2 linked regions of the Lonchura striata genome follow. The protein of the gene in region 2 interacts with the protein of the main gene of each other region in a pairwise test. Links are inferred from orthologs where the notes say so. Each region holds a gene or a part of one and is shown on either strand. Other genes may lie near its edges.

Evidence for each region.
Region 1: the proteins of KHDRBS2 (region 2) and DOCK2 interact in binary tests that used the Homo sapiens proteins (3 or more experiments, as listed by UniProt). The two-hybrid records come from large-scale screens. The link is inferred for Lonchura striata from reciprocal best matches to the Homo sapiens genes KHDRBS2 and DOCK2.

The regions. Positions count from the first base shown.
Region 1 is NC_134617.1:14,571,330-14,578,376, forward strand, and holds the start of DOCK2 (dedicator of cytokinesis protein 2), read left to right. Parts: upstream 1-4,039; coding exon 4,040-4,271; intron 4,272-7,047. UniProt on the Homo sapiens protein: Involved in cytoskeletal rearrangements required for lymphocyte migration in response of chemokines. Activates RAC1 and RAC2, but not CDC42, by functioning as a guanine nucleotide exchange factor (GEF), which exchanges bound GDP for free GTP.
Region 2 is NC_134605.1:88,486,111-88,493,875, reverse strand, and holds the start of KHDRBS2 (KH domain-containing, RNA-binding, signal transduction-associated protein 2), read right to left. Parts: upstream 3,016-7,765; 5' UTR 2,947-3,015; coding exon 2,856-2,946; intron 1-2,855. UniProt on the Homo sapiens protein: RNA-binding protein that plays a role in the regulation of alternative splicing and influences mRNA splice site selection and exon inclusion. Binds both poly(A) and poly(U) homopolymers. Phosphorylation by PTK6 inhibits its RNA-binding ability.

The sequences.
Region 1 (7,047 bases), on a different chromosome or scaffold from region 2:
TTACATGGTAAGACAGACTAGACAGGGTTGATGGAGAACTCAAGTGAGTGATGTGCTCCTAAATTTCTTCCAGTTTACAGATTCAGAATTCTTAATATATTTCCTCCTAAAGTGTTAATTTTCAACTTTCAGGCTGGCATGTTTGCAAAGGTGCATGTGAATCACTTCATGTGTTTTGTTGGTCAGTGTTTGAAATTGTTTGGATTCTTGTATTTGTACTATTAATTAAAATAAAGGTTTATTTCTTTCTTTAGAAAATGTAGTCTGTATTGTATTTGAAAAGACACATGTATCAATTTTTTAAATGAAGGTGATGTCTTTTGTAGAACTTTTTGTTTAAAAAAATACCTCTCAATAAATGATAAGAAAGTGTAATGCATGCGCTGTGTGTCCTGTTTTTAGGAGACAATTCTGTAACTTCCTGCAGAAAAATTCTGACGAGACCTTTTAAGCTAGGTATTTGTATGGAAGTTGGAGTACTCCATTTGAGTCATGATAGTACAGTTTGAGCTCCCTCTGGTGAATGGATTAGCCAGTTTCTAAATAAAAGACTCAGTAATTAAGGTGGAAGTTCTTTAAGACTTCTTTTAAAATCCATCATGGAAAAGAATACATTGGGGAGCAATCTTGCAACCCCCTGGTTTGTTTACAGTTCTGCCAGGTCTGAAGTGGTGCCTGGGATTTTGTTAACTCTGGTGACTTTAGCTCACCAGTCACTTACCTCAAAAAAAACTGAATTCTGATCACAGCAGAAGTGACTAAAAAGGTGGGAATGTCACCATAAATGAGCACATCTCCCTTTCCAGGGAGCTTCATCTCATTATCAGAGCATTTCTGCACAGTTCTGCTTAGGCACAGCCCAGTGGCTGCTACTTCTGTTGGACAAAATAATCAGAAATTTGTGTGTCACAGAATCATATTTTGTCACTTCACTGCTGTAAGAAATTTGCTATGTAGCTGAGTTTAACTTTTACTAAGGTATTATTACTGACAGCAAGTGTATAGCCATGAAATAGTTCTTGCTCTTCTTGACTTTGACATGTGAACTTAAATTATGTTATGCTGAAGAAATCCTGTTTTTCATGCTACAAAATGTTAGAAACAAATCCTTTATTATGAAAATGGTGAAAGTTACATTTGTTTACTGTCACTACTGTGAGACAACCTAGAACAACTGAGGTACATGATTGCTCTACTTAGAGGAAAACCTTTGGTAAGCTGACATTGGATAATGTGTTTAAATGGCAGTACTGAGCTGTAGATTGTCTATTAAGACAATTAATTGTGTGTTGATTTCTGTTATAGTTAACATTATGTTGAGCTACTGGGCATGTGGCATTTCTAAAGTTATTTCTAGGTTGAAACAACTAGTTAATTTATGTGACAAACAGAACTGGGATGCCATTTCAACAAACAAATGAAGCTGACTAGGATTATCTAATTACCCCCAGGAGCTGCTTTACAGTCTCTGCTGCTGGAGTCCACTTGGAGTGTGCAGCCTTGACCATTTTATGTAGTGGGTTTGTGTTTACACATCCTTCTGCAGGAGTGCAGGTGGGGGAATGTGTCTGGGCTCCAGGCTTTGGGTGTGCTGGAACACACTTGAGGTACCGTGCATGAGAGTTCTTGCTGTATTTTCTTATTTGGTTCTGGTGTGTCTCATCAGTTGCTTTTCTGCAACTGTGCTCACAGATCTTGGCATAAAATAGAGTTAAATGGAACTTCTGTGTTCTGCTCAAATTCTTTATAAAGGAAATTAGTTTAGCTAAAAAATGGGTAGTTAGCTACTCATCATCTTACAAGGTCTTGTTTTCTGGAACTGATAACAGTATTGAAGGAAGCAAGAACTGTCTCTCTTCTGCTTGTCCCCAGCCCACAAAAGGTAAGTTTTTCTTGTGAGCTTCCTCTACAGAGTTTCATCTTTCAGGGAAACGAGGAATTTTCTATTTTCCTTAAAAAAACCTTCTGTCCTGAAAAAGATTGAAGGAAGAAATGGTGAGCTATGTGAGGGTGATGACTCTGCCTGCTGTTTTCTGTGGAATATCAATATGTGGACGTAACAGCACAAATAAACCAAGTTGGAATAAAAACGTCCATGGACAAAGGGTGTAACTATTGCCCACCTTAATTCCTTAGACCTGTGCTGGGGTTTGTTCTCTGCTGTAAGAACAGGATTTTAGGGTTACTGTTTGTGCTTTGCTCTGGCACTTCCCTCTCTCAGCTAAGGAAGGATTTGGTTCCCCAATCCATTCATTAGGAGTTAGAGGCAGGAATTTTTCAGAGCCAGCCAGACAAGGTGGGAGCTGAGTGAGATGAGGTGGCGGAGGGGCTGCAAAAGCAGCATCATGGAAATCTGCCAGGAGGAAGCTCCAGCAGCTGTGCAGGGCTGAGAGCTGGAGAGGGGAAGGGGATGGCAGCGGGAGGCAGCAATTCCTGTGGGAGTTTTGGCCCTTGAGTTGGCTTTTGGGCAAGTCCAGAGGGTACAAGAGGGGATGTGAGCTCTGTCCCTTTGTTGTGCTGTGCTCTGCAGAACTACGTCAGGCCATCAGAGAAGTGGATACCAGTTTGTAGGTGAAATTTCTTTATTTTAGATCATTTACTTTCGGAAGAAAATAGTATTAACTAGGTGTATTAGACATCCATGGAGAAGCAGGTTTGTAAATGAGTCCTAGAAAGAAGCAGTTTTTTCTTCTGGGCTGTTGCTTTACAGGGGAGCACAATAAGGAAGAGCAAGGTAGAACGAGAAAATAAAAACAAGGCAACCTTTAGGCCAAGTAGTGAATGGGAAGAGGGGATTTGCTGCAACAGGGACTGGGAAGAGTGAGGAAGAAATTACCACTGGTTAGGAAGTTACTGCTCAAAACCCAGAGTAAATTGAAAGATGAAATAGTTTGGCCTCAAAATCTTTCCAGGGACAGAAAAGATAAAGATCTTTTACATTAAGCTTGTTTTCTGTAAATGGAAATAATGAGAGCTGCTAGGAATTTAGCCCACTTTAGTAAAGATAACATGACTTTCAATGTTATTTTAGGGGAGAGAAAAGAGCTATATTGTTGTCTAAGCTAGTATGGTTAAGATTAGACCAATTCAAGCAAATCTGTGGCGAAGGTTAAAGTGATTTTCCTGCAAAAATATATATCAGAAGTCCACATGCAAGGAGAGAGGCTGGCAGTCTGTGCTCCACATGATTGCTAACAAAAATCAAGAAATAAAATGTCATGTGTTATCAAAACCAGAGGAGATGGTTATCAAAAATCAGGAGATGGATGTAGCACGGCAGTGTTAAACAGTTTGGATAAACAATGATTGCTAAGCTGCAGTGGAATATCCAGAGGACAAGACTGTCAGCTGCATCTGTTGTACTAAGCAGAAGATCAAACAAGCAGTAAATCTTGCAAGGATTTAATTTGAGGGTTTTTAACTCTAAATTATGAGTAAAGCACCGACTTTGTGCTTTAAGGTGACATACTGCCTTCAATTCGGTATATTGTCCTTAATCCATGTTCCAAAAGACTTGGCTTGGTCCTATGCACATCCAAAATGTCCTCACCCAGGCTGGCTCCCCAGCAGCTGTGTGCAAGCACAGGCTGGAAATATGCTAAAAATTACTTCTGGCAGTTTTGTACTGACAATAAGTCTTTAAGAAAGTACTGCTTTGTTTAGAGAAGAGTCTCCTGCTTCTTCCTCCAAACATAAAATGATAGACATTTAAAAGAATGGGTGTGTTTTGAAATGTGGCTTTGTCTTCACGCCATTTCTTTTTGGAGAGGTGACATCAAAAGCACAAATCTGAGTTTGAGGGCAGGTTAGAAGAGCAGAGTTTTTAAGATGTAGCATCCTCTGAAGTCCAACCTTTCCAGCCTGGTGCTGGTTTGGTTTCCTGCACTGACCTAAGCCATGGTCAGAGATGGTCACTGAGCCAACCTGAAGTCCAGGGGTGGTGCCACACGGTCCTGGCGTGGTTTTGGTCCTTTTGTGCTTCTGTGTTCACAGCCGACACGGTGCAAAAGAAACACCCAGGCTGGGTTTCCCCTCCCCCATGACACAGGCACGGTATGTGGAGCTGAGAAAAGAGGAAGGAAGCTCGGAGAGGCAGCAGATCTCACAGAGCCTGCTCGTCCCGGGGCTGGGGAGCCACGGCGCTTCCGGGGCCTGCCTTGGTCACCCCCAGCTCTGCACCCCAGCACCTGGGCTCCTCGGGGGGCATCCCTGCGAGCCGCTCCCTTCACGTGCCATGGCAAGATGGCACAAGACGGAGAAGAGTGGCGTGGGTAAGTAGCTCAGGGAGCTGCCATTTGAGCATTGTCTTTCTGTCTTCTGAGCAGGATGTGGGCAGGTGTTGTCTCTGCTGTGATGGGTTAACACCATCCACTCCGCCAGCGGGGAGTACCTGAAAAGATCAAATTTGTACAAAGTTTGGATCTTCCAAACAGAACAGCATGAAGTATAGCTTTCCCACTTTGATAGCAATGCAGCTTCTCCCACTTGGTGTGGTAGAAGCAGACTGAATAAATAATGTGTTGTATAATGTGCAGTGGCCAGAAGTTATGGGGAACAAATGTAGGGGAAGGGGAATCCTAGAGTTGCTTCTGCAAGATTGTCACTTATGGTCAGTGCTACAGAAAAAATCTGTGTCTGAGTTGGTAAGTCGTACTTTTGGGAAGGAAAGTAATCTTTAAATAAATAATGTTAACTTGCACAAAGGACAGAATTGCCGTTTTAAAAGAGCCTTTAACAAGTAGGAATCAAAGCTAAAGCACTTGAAAGATGTGTGGTACTACTTAGTTATTTACCTTCTAAATACTTCTAAAAGATTTTTTTTTATTTTAAGTAGGCCATAGTTTTTTGTGATATGCATTAAAAATCCAACTGGCTTCATGAAATAAAATGTAAGGCCAAGAAATTAACAAGAGGAGAATAACGTGTTATTCAAGATCCATGTCCAGCAGTAGCAGAACTGCAAAATGGAAGTAGCCTGTTCTGGTGGCAGTTTACATTAGAAAAAAAAAGTGTCAATATTTTCTGTTTCAATTTTACAAATAGTAGAAAGCACATAAGTTTTGCACTTGTAGTAGTCTCTATGGTATTTGAAAGGCACAACAAACATCACACAGTAAAAAAACCACCTTATAAAATGCAATCTTTCAAAAACTAATGGCTCAGCGATGTCTGTTTTAATGTCCAGAACAGTACAATTTACTCTAGAGTGGGTCCCTGGGAAGAGCTGACACTACAAACCTGCTGCTATTTCCTTTCCCCTCTGCTTGCTCCCTCTGTGAGCAGTTTGATGTGAGACAATCTGGGCACGTGGGGTCCTGCAGTGTGCTGAGAGTGCTCCTGCTTGCTGGCCCCAAGTCCGTGTCCTGGGTTAAAGGAAGGTTTGCCATTAAACACCCCACAAGGCTCCTTATATTTGCATGTAAACATCACAGTTGTAGTGGAGTCTGTGGTTTAGTGTGTCACAAAGCAAAATAAACGGCAATCAAATGGACTTCCAAACAATATTAGAATAGTAATGTAAGTGGGCATACATGTGGCTTTTGGTAGGTTTTTTTCAGTAAGAGAATTCTCTGGTTTTGCACAATTGCTAGAATTTAATGCATAACTACAGATTCAACAACATACAGATTTAGCTTATACCCAGAAGTTCCTTTTCTTAGCCAAACTCTTGGCTCACAGTTCATTTTGCTCTATCTTGGAAATGAAATGTATTTCATTATATATGTTATTGAGAAAAAAATGGGAGACTCTTGCACCCAGAATAATTAAACCAATCAAACATGCATGTACCACTATCACTGGCTCTCCTGCCCCAGAAGTTAAATAAATTTATATTCTTAGAAATTGTCAGGAAAATGGTGTAGTTGCCAAATTTCAAGTAAACGAAACTCATGGAATAGTGAGGCCTGATCAAGGGCTATTGACAACTATGGTCACAAATGAATAGGTTTTTGAATTTACAGTCTTGTAAACATGCCTCCTGTGTCTGAGGGAAATAAGAAAAATGGGCAGACTGAGTCTTCTGAGTCATAAATTCTGTGAAAGTTGATGAGCTTTTGGAATAATACACAGCGGAAGCTGTTTGAACATATAGGGCTATTTTGTCTTCTGTGTTTTTGAAAATCTTTGGGTTTGAGTCTCCCATTGAATTTTCAAGTCTCTTATTAGGAGCATGCCCGATGCCTTCAGTTTCTGCTGATGAACAGAGTTTCAGTTTGAGAATACTGGGCCCATCATGCTTTGGATGAGCAGAGTACACTGCAGGGTGGATCTGGAAGATCACACCATCTCTTGGTTATGGTGAATTGCAGTCTGTTGTGCCTACTTTTGTGTTTTATTTAACTAACAATGGACTAGTCCAGGTAGCAGGTACTCAGCTTTTTCCTAGGAAAATACAGTCCTGATTTTACACATGAATATTGTTTTTAGTCTTGCAGCATTCCCAGCATGAATTTGTGTTATTCCTGTGGACAGAACAGGATAGAATAGTCATGGCAGGCTGGTGCCTTTGGGTGGCAGTTTCCTGATGGAAAGTCTTTGCCATCTGCTCAGACTTTGAGCAAAGTTACAAACTGGTGAAATGATGGCATTCTTAACCCAAATTTACATTGGCATTCTAAACTCAAGAATCAGATTTACTTCTTTTCTACTGGATCAGAAAATATATGTTTGTCCTTTTTAAGCAAAATTATGGGGAGGAGTGGATGACTTCTTTGAAGGTATAGAAAAGCACACGCTCAGCCTGAGTACACAGAGCTGAGACTGGCTTGTCTGATTTTATCTGCTGAAATCCTTGGAAATTATTCTACATCTCTGAAATCTGAATAGATTGAGGTTTAAGGGAGCAGAGCTTTGTTCAGGGCAGGTTTCCTCCATGAAGTGCACCCTCTGAACCCAAAAAAACAGTTCCAGCTCCTTGGGAAGCATAAAAAAAATGGGGAAATAATATTTTTATCCATGGTCCTTCATGAAAAGGAGAAAATCAAACTAAATACCCTATTCTTCATGAAGAGGTCTAAGAAAAATGGCTGTGCTACAATTTTATCT
Region 2 (7,765 bases):
GAAAAAACTTAGGGTGAGGCAAATATCATTAGCCACTCACAAGTCCTCCTAGTAGATGACTTACCAATGACTTTTCCATTTCCAATAGTGCAACAGTCATGTAGGATCTACTTCTACATGAAACGGGCTATGACCCATGGGAAATAAGTATCTTCTGATTAAGGCACTCAATTGGCCATTCAGTGTTAGAATCCACAACAGATTCCCTCAGGGATTTTTAAAGAAATCAGGTTTTGTCTCCACACTTTGTATTTAAATAGCACTAGTACCTTCTACCTTCATTAGGACCTTACCTTTCTTTCTGTTGTTTGGCATGTATGTAAATAGTCTGCCAAAGGAAATGTCCCTTTTCTGGGGATTATACCAGACCCAGGCAAGGACTAAAATAAGTGATTTCTAGTCATCACTTAATGGTGAGGGATAAATAGCTACTGATTGAAGTATGCATCTGAAACAGGTCAACCTGAAGGACACAGACCCACATATTGAAAACATAAGAAATATGTTGGTGTAAATATTGGTTAAGTACACCAAAACACACAAACAAAGAAAGACCACGCAACAGATTCAAACAAACAAAAGAAATTATTGGGGGAAAATGGGTAGTCTTATCTTTACAAGTAAATCCACTCTTGCAAATGAGAAGCATTTTTCTGGAATACTTATTGCTTGTGTGCCCTTCTGCGGTTTCTCACAGGAACACAACTGTTCTCAACCTTGGGTTTTAGCAGCCAATATGAAACAACACAGCACTTTCAAGTCAGACTGAATGCTTGAGGCTCTGAGCTCCAAAGCAAATCTACACTTATGTATTTGATACAAAGTGTGCTGGCAATCAAAAATGCTTAGGACACCATAAAAAGAACACCTGGCTGGTATCGTTAGGGATGTAGCTGATTGCACGTTACATTCTAAAGAACAGAAATCCAGAGTCTGGAAAAAATATTTCATCGTTAATATAACCTAGAAATTACTCACTACTACAGAGATCCTTGCACCAGGATCCCATTTTCTTCTGGCACTCAAAAAAGAAAATTCTGCCCTTTCTATTTATGCCCAGCAGCAACCAGTGCATTAATTTTAATTTTCTTAAGTAGTAACATTCTTACTATGGTTAAGTGTTTTAACAGTCGTCATATGTTCGACTCTAAAACAAATGTCTAGAAAGCTTGACAGATGGTGTTTTGAAGGATAATGCCAGGTACCTGGTGTGAATCTGACATTAGCATTCTCTCAGACAACTCACCTTCATCTTTTAAAAAATCCAGTGAAATAATGCATAGTCCTACTTAGGCCAAGAAGGAATGAGAAAATCGTTCATTTATTCAATCTCACAGTTGCTCAAAATGCAACTTCTACATGAACTTGATACCTAGAAAAAACAATTTTCCTTTTACTTTTATTTGCCTACTTTCGGTTTTGTCCTTCCTGCATTTTCCTCCTTTCCCAGACACTCACACACACACTCTCAGAGGATACTTCCCCCCTCTGGGAAAAGACCGAACTGCAAGGTTCAAAAAATACATTCCTCTAAGAAATAAGGACTTAGTTTATGGTATGATTATAAGAAAAACAACTATAAAAAGTAGCATGGCTGCCTCTTTAGCAGCAAGACAGCTATGACAAAACGGTACTAAATGGGTCTGTATTCATACTGAAATTCAGTATGAATTTTAAAGCTATCAAACAGAAGCACTCCAACAAAACCTGGACTCAGTATCTTCATTCACAATCAATAAAACATACATTAAGGAAAGACAATATAAAAACTGCTGACAGAGGAAAAACACTTACTGCTTAGCATGGTAAATCTGAATTAGTTATGATTTTCTTTAGGTCATAAACAGAACTTGGGAAATTATTTGCCACCTCTGAGTTTATTTGAATGTGTGACTCTCAGGGGCCTGACCATATATTTCTTTGCTTTAATCTCTTTTAAAAACTTAATAGGTTGTCTTGATTTATGCATCATTCTTTACTACTTCTTTTCAACATTAGGTTCCAAGTTTAACAGGGATTTTATAAAGACTATTAAATATCTAAGAAGAAAAACATGTATAAGAGGAACTTAAAGGATTACACTTTTGGCAAAAGTTAAAATTCCATACCACGAGGTCTTCACGCAACCGCTATACTGAGCAATTATTACAAGAGAGACTAAATGATAAACTTTTTAAAGAACCTTTAGGCGAGGTCCAACTAAAACTCTACTCCAACTAAAGCAAGGAAAGGAGGGCGAGCTACAATGAGTATCCAAATGTTATAACCAGTGTATTCTGATCTCCGCACAAAACCAAGAGGAAATCATCATGTCCTGGATGAAACTGTCATGAAATTGATAAGCCATATCAAATCAATGTCTGACATCGCGCAGTCGACTAAAAACAGCGCCGCATTAACGGCATGATAGTATCACCATATAAACCTTATTACTTCAGCGTGGAAAACAGGATATAACGAATGCAATGAGACGCCAGCATCTGTCTTTGTGTAAGTGAGCCCGGGAACCAGGGGAGCGCCTCCCGCACAGGCGACCCAGCCGCGGCAGCGCCGGCGCACGGCGGGGAGCGAGCGCGGGCGGCGGGGAGCGAGCGCGGGCGGCGGGCAGCGGGGCGCTCGCTGCGGCCGCCGGCGGCTGCTGCCGGACGGGTCCCTCGGCAAGGCTCCGGGGCGGCCCCGGGCGCCCGAGCCCCGAACCGCCGCCGCCCCGACCCCACGCGCGACCGGGTCCCGCCGCGGGCCGCTCCGCCGCCCACCGGCCCGGACACCCGAGTTCGCTCCCTGTCAGTCGGCCGGGGCCGCCAAGCCCACCCCGAGGAGCGCCCCGGCCGGGGGAGCGCGGCGCGGAGCCTCACCGTCTTCCAGGAGGCGCATCGCGTGAACAAAGCAGGGATCCAGGCTGTCCTTCTCGGCCATCAGCTCGGGCAGGTACTTGTCCTGCTCCATCGCCGCGGGCACGCCGGGCGGGCTGCGCGGGATGCCGGGCTCGCCGCTCCGCGCCCTCGGCCGCCCGCTCGCCGCTGGCCGCGCCGGGGCCGCCCCGCGGGTGCCGCCGCCCCTCGCGCGGCGGGCGCTGCCCCGGCCCCGCCTCCGCCTTCCCCTCGCGCCGCGCGGGGGCGGGCACGTGCGCGGGTCGCCGCGCGCCGCTGCTCGCGCGCCTTCGCCCCCCCGCCTCCTCCTCCCGCCACTGAGCGACCCGCGGCCACCCGCGGCCTTAAGTAGGGAGGCGGAGCCAGCCGGGCCCCGCCCCCGCCGCTCCCATTGGCGGCTCCGCCGCGCCGGGGGCAGACTCGCCGTGCCATTGGCTGTCGCCAGGCGGGGCCCGCGGCCGGCGGGCGTCCGCGGAGGTGTGTGCGCCTGCGTGTGTCTGTGTCTGTGTTGTGGTTTAGGACTGGTATTACCTAATTTACCGCTTCCACTAAAACCACGCTGCAGCTCGCTCTCCCCACCCTTTCCCCATTCCCCGTGGCAGGCTAGAGAGGAGGATTGGAGGAATTGAAGGTAAAGATCACGGGTTGGAATAAGAACAATTTACTGGAAACAGCAATGAGATAAGAAAATGAGCAGTAACAGCAATTATATTAAAAACAAAAGTGTTCGAGAGAGATAAGTGATTCTCATGCAAAATGATTAGAATCGAGGTTACCTCGCCGCACCCACCCCGCGCTTACTGAACCAGAAGGAACCCCTTTTTTAAGGAAGAGACTTCTTTCCCCCCTAAGTCCAGCACCGGCAATGACCTGAGGTGATAGCGGAACAGCCTCTGGGTCCTGGCCATGTCCCCTCCCGGCTACGGCCAAAATTAACTCTGTCCAGGCAGGAACCAGGACAGTCTGTGCGTCTGTCACTGTGTGTGTGCTGTGTCTGTCTGTGTGTCTGTCTGCGTGCAGCTGTGTGTGCCAGTTTCTGCGTGCCAGCGCGAGTGCGTGTCCGTGAGTGGCGTCCGTGGTGCCGGTGCGCGCACGCGTGACCGTGTGCGGCTGTGCCGGTGCTGCGCCTGTGGGAGAGCGGGCACGTGTCCGTGTTTGTGTGTGAAACTGTGTGTGTTTGTGTGAAACTCCGTGTGTGCGTGAAACTGTGTGTGTGTGTGGGCGTGCACTTGTGTGAAGCTGTGCGCGCGTGTATGAAACCGTGTGTGCGTGCGTGAAATTGCGTGTGTGTGTGTGTGTGTGAAACTGTGCGCGCCTGTGTGAGACTGTGTGTGAGAGAGAGCGGGCTGCGCGGGAGAGGCCGTGCTGCGGTGCTTTCTGTGAGCCTGGCGGTGGTGTCTGTGCCCCTGTGCTCGTTTGTCCACGCGTGTCTCAGCGTGCCTGTGCCGCCGGTGTCGCTGCGTGGGCCGCCCTGCCCGTGCACGCCGGTGATGTGCTGGCAGTGGCCGTGTCCCTGCGCGGGGCCGCGGCTCCGTGCCCGCCGTGAGCCGCCCGCCCGCCCGCCGGGCGCTGTCCGCGGTGCTGGAGCCGGGAGGCAGCGGCTCTGCCCGGCTCTCTCTCCCTTCCCTCCCCGGCGGTGCCTCCCCCGAGCTCCGCCGCGCTCCCCGGGCTTCTCGGCCCTCCGCGGTCCGGGGACACGCCTCGCTAAAGCGGTGCCGCATCGGCGGCGTGGCCGTGCTGGAGCTGCCAGGCAGCTTCTCCCCTGAGGGTATGATGAGCATCAGCGGCCGGGCGCCGCCGCTCACAGACCGCGCCGAAAATGTCTGCCCGTGCCTGCTGTGCGCAGCTGGAGAGGCGCAGCCGGGGCCCGGGGGTCCTGTGGAAAGGGCGATCTCTGTCGAGGAATGCCGTGCTGCAGCTCCCACGGCCACGCCTGACAGAATTAGAACTATTATGCAATTAAAGTGTCTACAGCTTGGGTAAATAAAATTTATTTTAATTAGGGTTTAGCTTTAAGTATACATTTACTTTAGGTTATATTTATTCAGGATTTTGCCCCAACAGACCATACAGGAATGTGTTTTGATTTCGAAAGTAAACAAATATGTCTAAGTCATCTCAACTCATTAAAATTCCATTTGTGGGACCTCAAGAACAAGCAGTCTATGGCACCATACAACATTTTGTGCTCAACCCCTATGTCACATTCTTAGTATGTACCACTAATACTACTATCTTAGTATTTATTCTAATGAAATAGACAGTTGTTGCAATAATACATTTGTGAATGGCCTAGTACTGTTCAAGTATTTTTGTTGCTGTAGAGGAATTTAGATTTTGGGGTCTTTTTCTTTGTGGTTTTGTTTTGGTTGGGGGGAGTTGGCAGAGGAAGAAGGAATGAAAAAGATAAAAATCAAAGTAAAATCTTTATAATGGCATCCACAAGGTTTTGAATGTGTTGTACAGACATTATATAAAGATTTGATGTGCGATGTTTTCAAAATTCTAAGATATGTGCAGGCAACGTTTACGCAATTTCCACTCGGCATGCAAATAATTGAGGGACAGCACGTGTTTACAAAAATATGTAGAGAATGTCGGTGACCGATGCCTTATTATTCTGTAGTATTTCTAGAAGGGAGGAATAAAATACCTGAGAACAAATCTCCTTGCTGAGAAAGAATAGGAGCAGGAAAATAGTTGGTTTCAGCAAACTTATAAAACACTGAGGAAGCAGAGAAGACTGATAGCAGAATTGAAAGGTTTAATAGTCAATCAGCTTTTACTACAAATTTTGTGTGGGGATAAAGGGAAGACATAAGTCCTTCTTTAAAAAACAAACAAATAAAACAAAGAAAAGCGCAGAACTCAGATAGTTTATTAATAATTTACCCTGATTCAATTTACTGCATGAATAGTTCTCCTTTCCCATTTAACAGCGTAGGAAGAAATAGTGGTGTTTGCAACACAGCTCAGGTCTGTCTTGCTCAAAAGCTTGCCTGTGTCATCAGATTGTATTTCTGCACTTCTGTTTTCCAGAACAATTCAGGCAGGTGCTCCACAGTTCAGAAAGACAGCAGGCCAATGATAGGTGTGTTCTCCTAAAGCAACTTCAAGTTGAATGTAAGCCATCCCCCCAGAAGTAATCCTGGTCTGGTAGCTTTCAAGACATACCATATGGGCATGTATACGGAAAATGAATTTTGGGTGTTTTCCATCTGGGGTGTTATAGGAATAATGCTACTTTAGTCTGTTTAATTGTACTTAACCTACTTAGATCACAGGAAGCTTTGACTTACACACCTTTAAATTTTTTAAACAATAGGAAGTGCTAAATTCATTAAACTCTTTTTTTTCTGGTCAAAGAGGTAGACAGCAGGTTTCATTACACATATTTTTACAGCAAACTAGACAGAAACAAGTTCTGTGTAAGTTCATTTGTGAAAACTTATAAAGTTAAATTGACTTTCAGTGATACTTAGGCTGCAAAGCCACTGAGATACCTTTCTGAATTTCACCTTATACCTCATTAAAAATAAAAAAAGGCATTAAAATCTGTCAGACAGGAAATATAGACTTCTAATGACATCAAACATGACTTCATTGCTAGTTGGAGATCAATTTTTTTCACAGCGCTACTAAAAACCAAAGACACATTTTACAACTCTTTAGTTTGAAGTGTCAAGACAAATTGAAGTTTATCTGTACTATATTTTTTAATGCTAAGTCTGATAATGAAATGGATCGCAGCATAACAGATTGCAGTTTATTCAAAGACAGAACAGGTAAAAATCAGTATGTATTCTTGCCAGTGCCATCCAAATACATTGTATTATCATGTAGAACTGAAGTCAAAAGGCAGTGGATCCAAGCAATTGAAGAAAAACCCCAAACCTTGCATTTGCTTATTCAAAAATTATTAAATCTTTTAAGAATTTGCAGTAGAATGAATGGTCAGTGTGAGCTCAATTAGAATGAGCTGCCCTTCTGACACCTCGCAATAAAGTTGATACAATAATTTAAATGAATAGTTAACTATGTGTGTGGGAGTAGACAGAGGACCACATACATCAAAAAAATCAGAATAGTCAAGAGTTTTGTATTTCAGAAATTCAATTTGCTTTGAAATTTCTTTACTGGTTCATTTGCTTTAGCTATGAGTAAGGGTTATCTGGTTCCTGAACCAAATGCTGATGAGCATTAAAAAAGAAAAAAAATAGGGACTTTCTTCTATAATCTAAGTAACCATCTCCGTCTCTGAAAGTAGAATTATAATAGACAATATATCTAACAAAGAGGCAGCAGTGCATGTGCAAAAAAAGAAGGAATTGCCCCCACATTCTTTACTATAGTTTATTTAATTCCTTCTTTGAATACAGTCTATACCCAGGCTCCATCTGATCTCTTCATGCTGTCTTATGGATACCAGTTCTTGTACCTGGTGATTTCATGGTTTGATCATGGGACAACTGAACATGCACAAAAGTTGTTTCCTTGTAACAGCACTCAGATGATGTACTGAGTGCTGATGCACTGGCTTTGGGCAATGGTGGGTCCAGGTGGAAGTGGCTACACCTTCTCCTTGTAGAGGCCAGCCTTGTAGACTACCACACGGCCAACAGCTTGCTGGATAATCCAGAAGGCAAATGTGCATCAGCAGATCATTTTCAGACTATCCCAGGCACAGCAGAAGACTCAGCCATATATGGTCCAACACAGACATAGTTGATATCTGCGGTAAGTCACTGATTTCCACAGGGTTTTGGTCTCTTCACTCGTACAGCTTCTTAAATTGACACATTCTTTACAGATTAGTTATTAGTCTATAAAAATCAAATAAATCAGCTTCCCTTAAAAAAATATATCATTACTTACTTATTTCCTTTCAAGACATT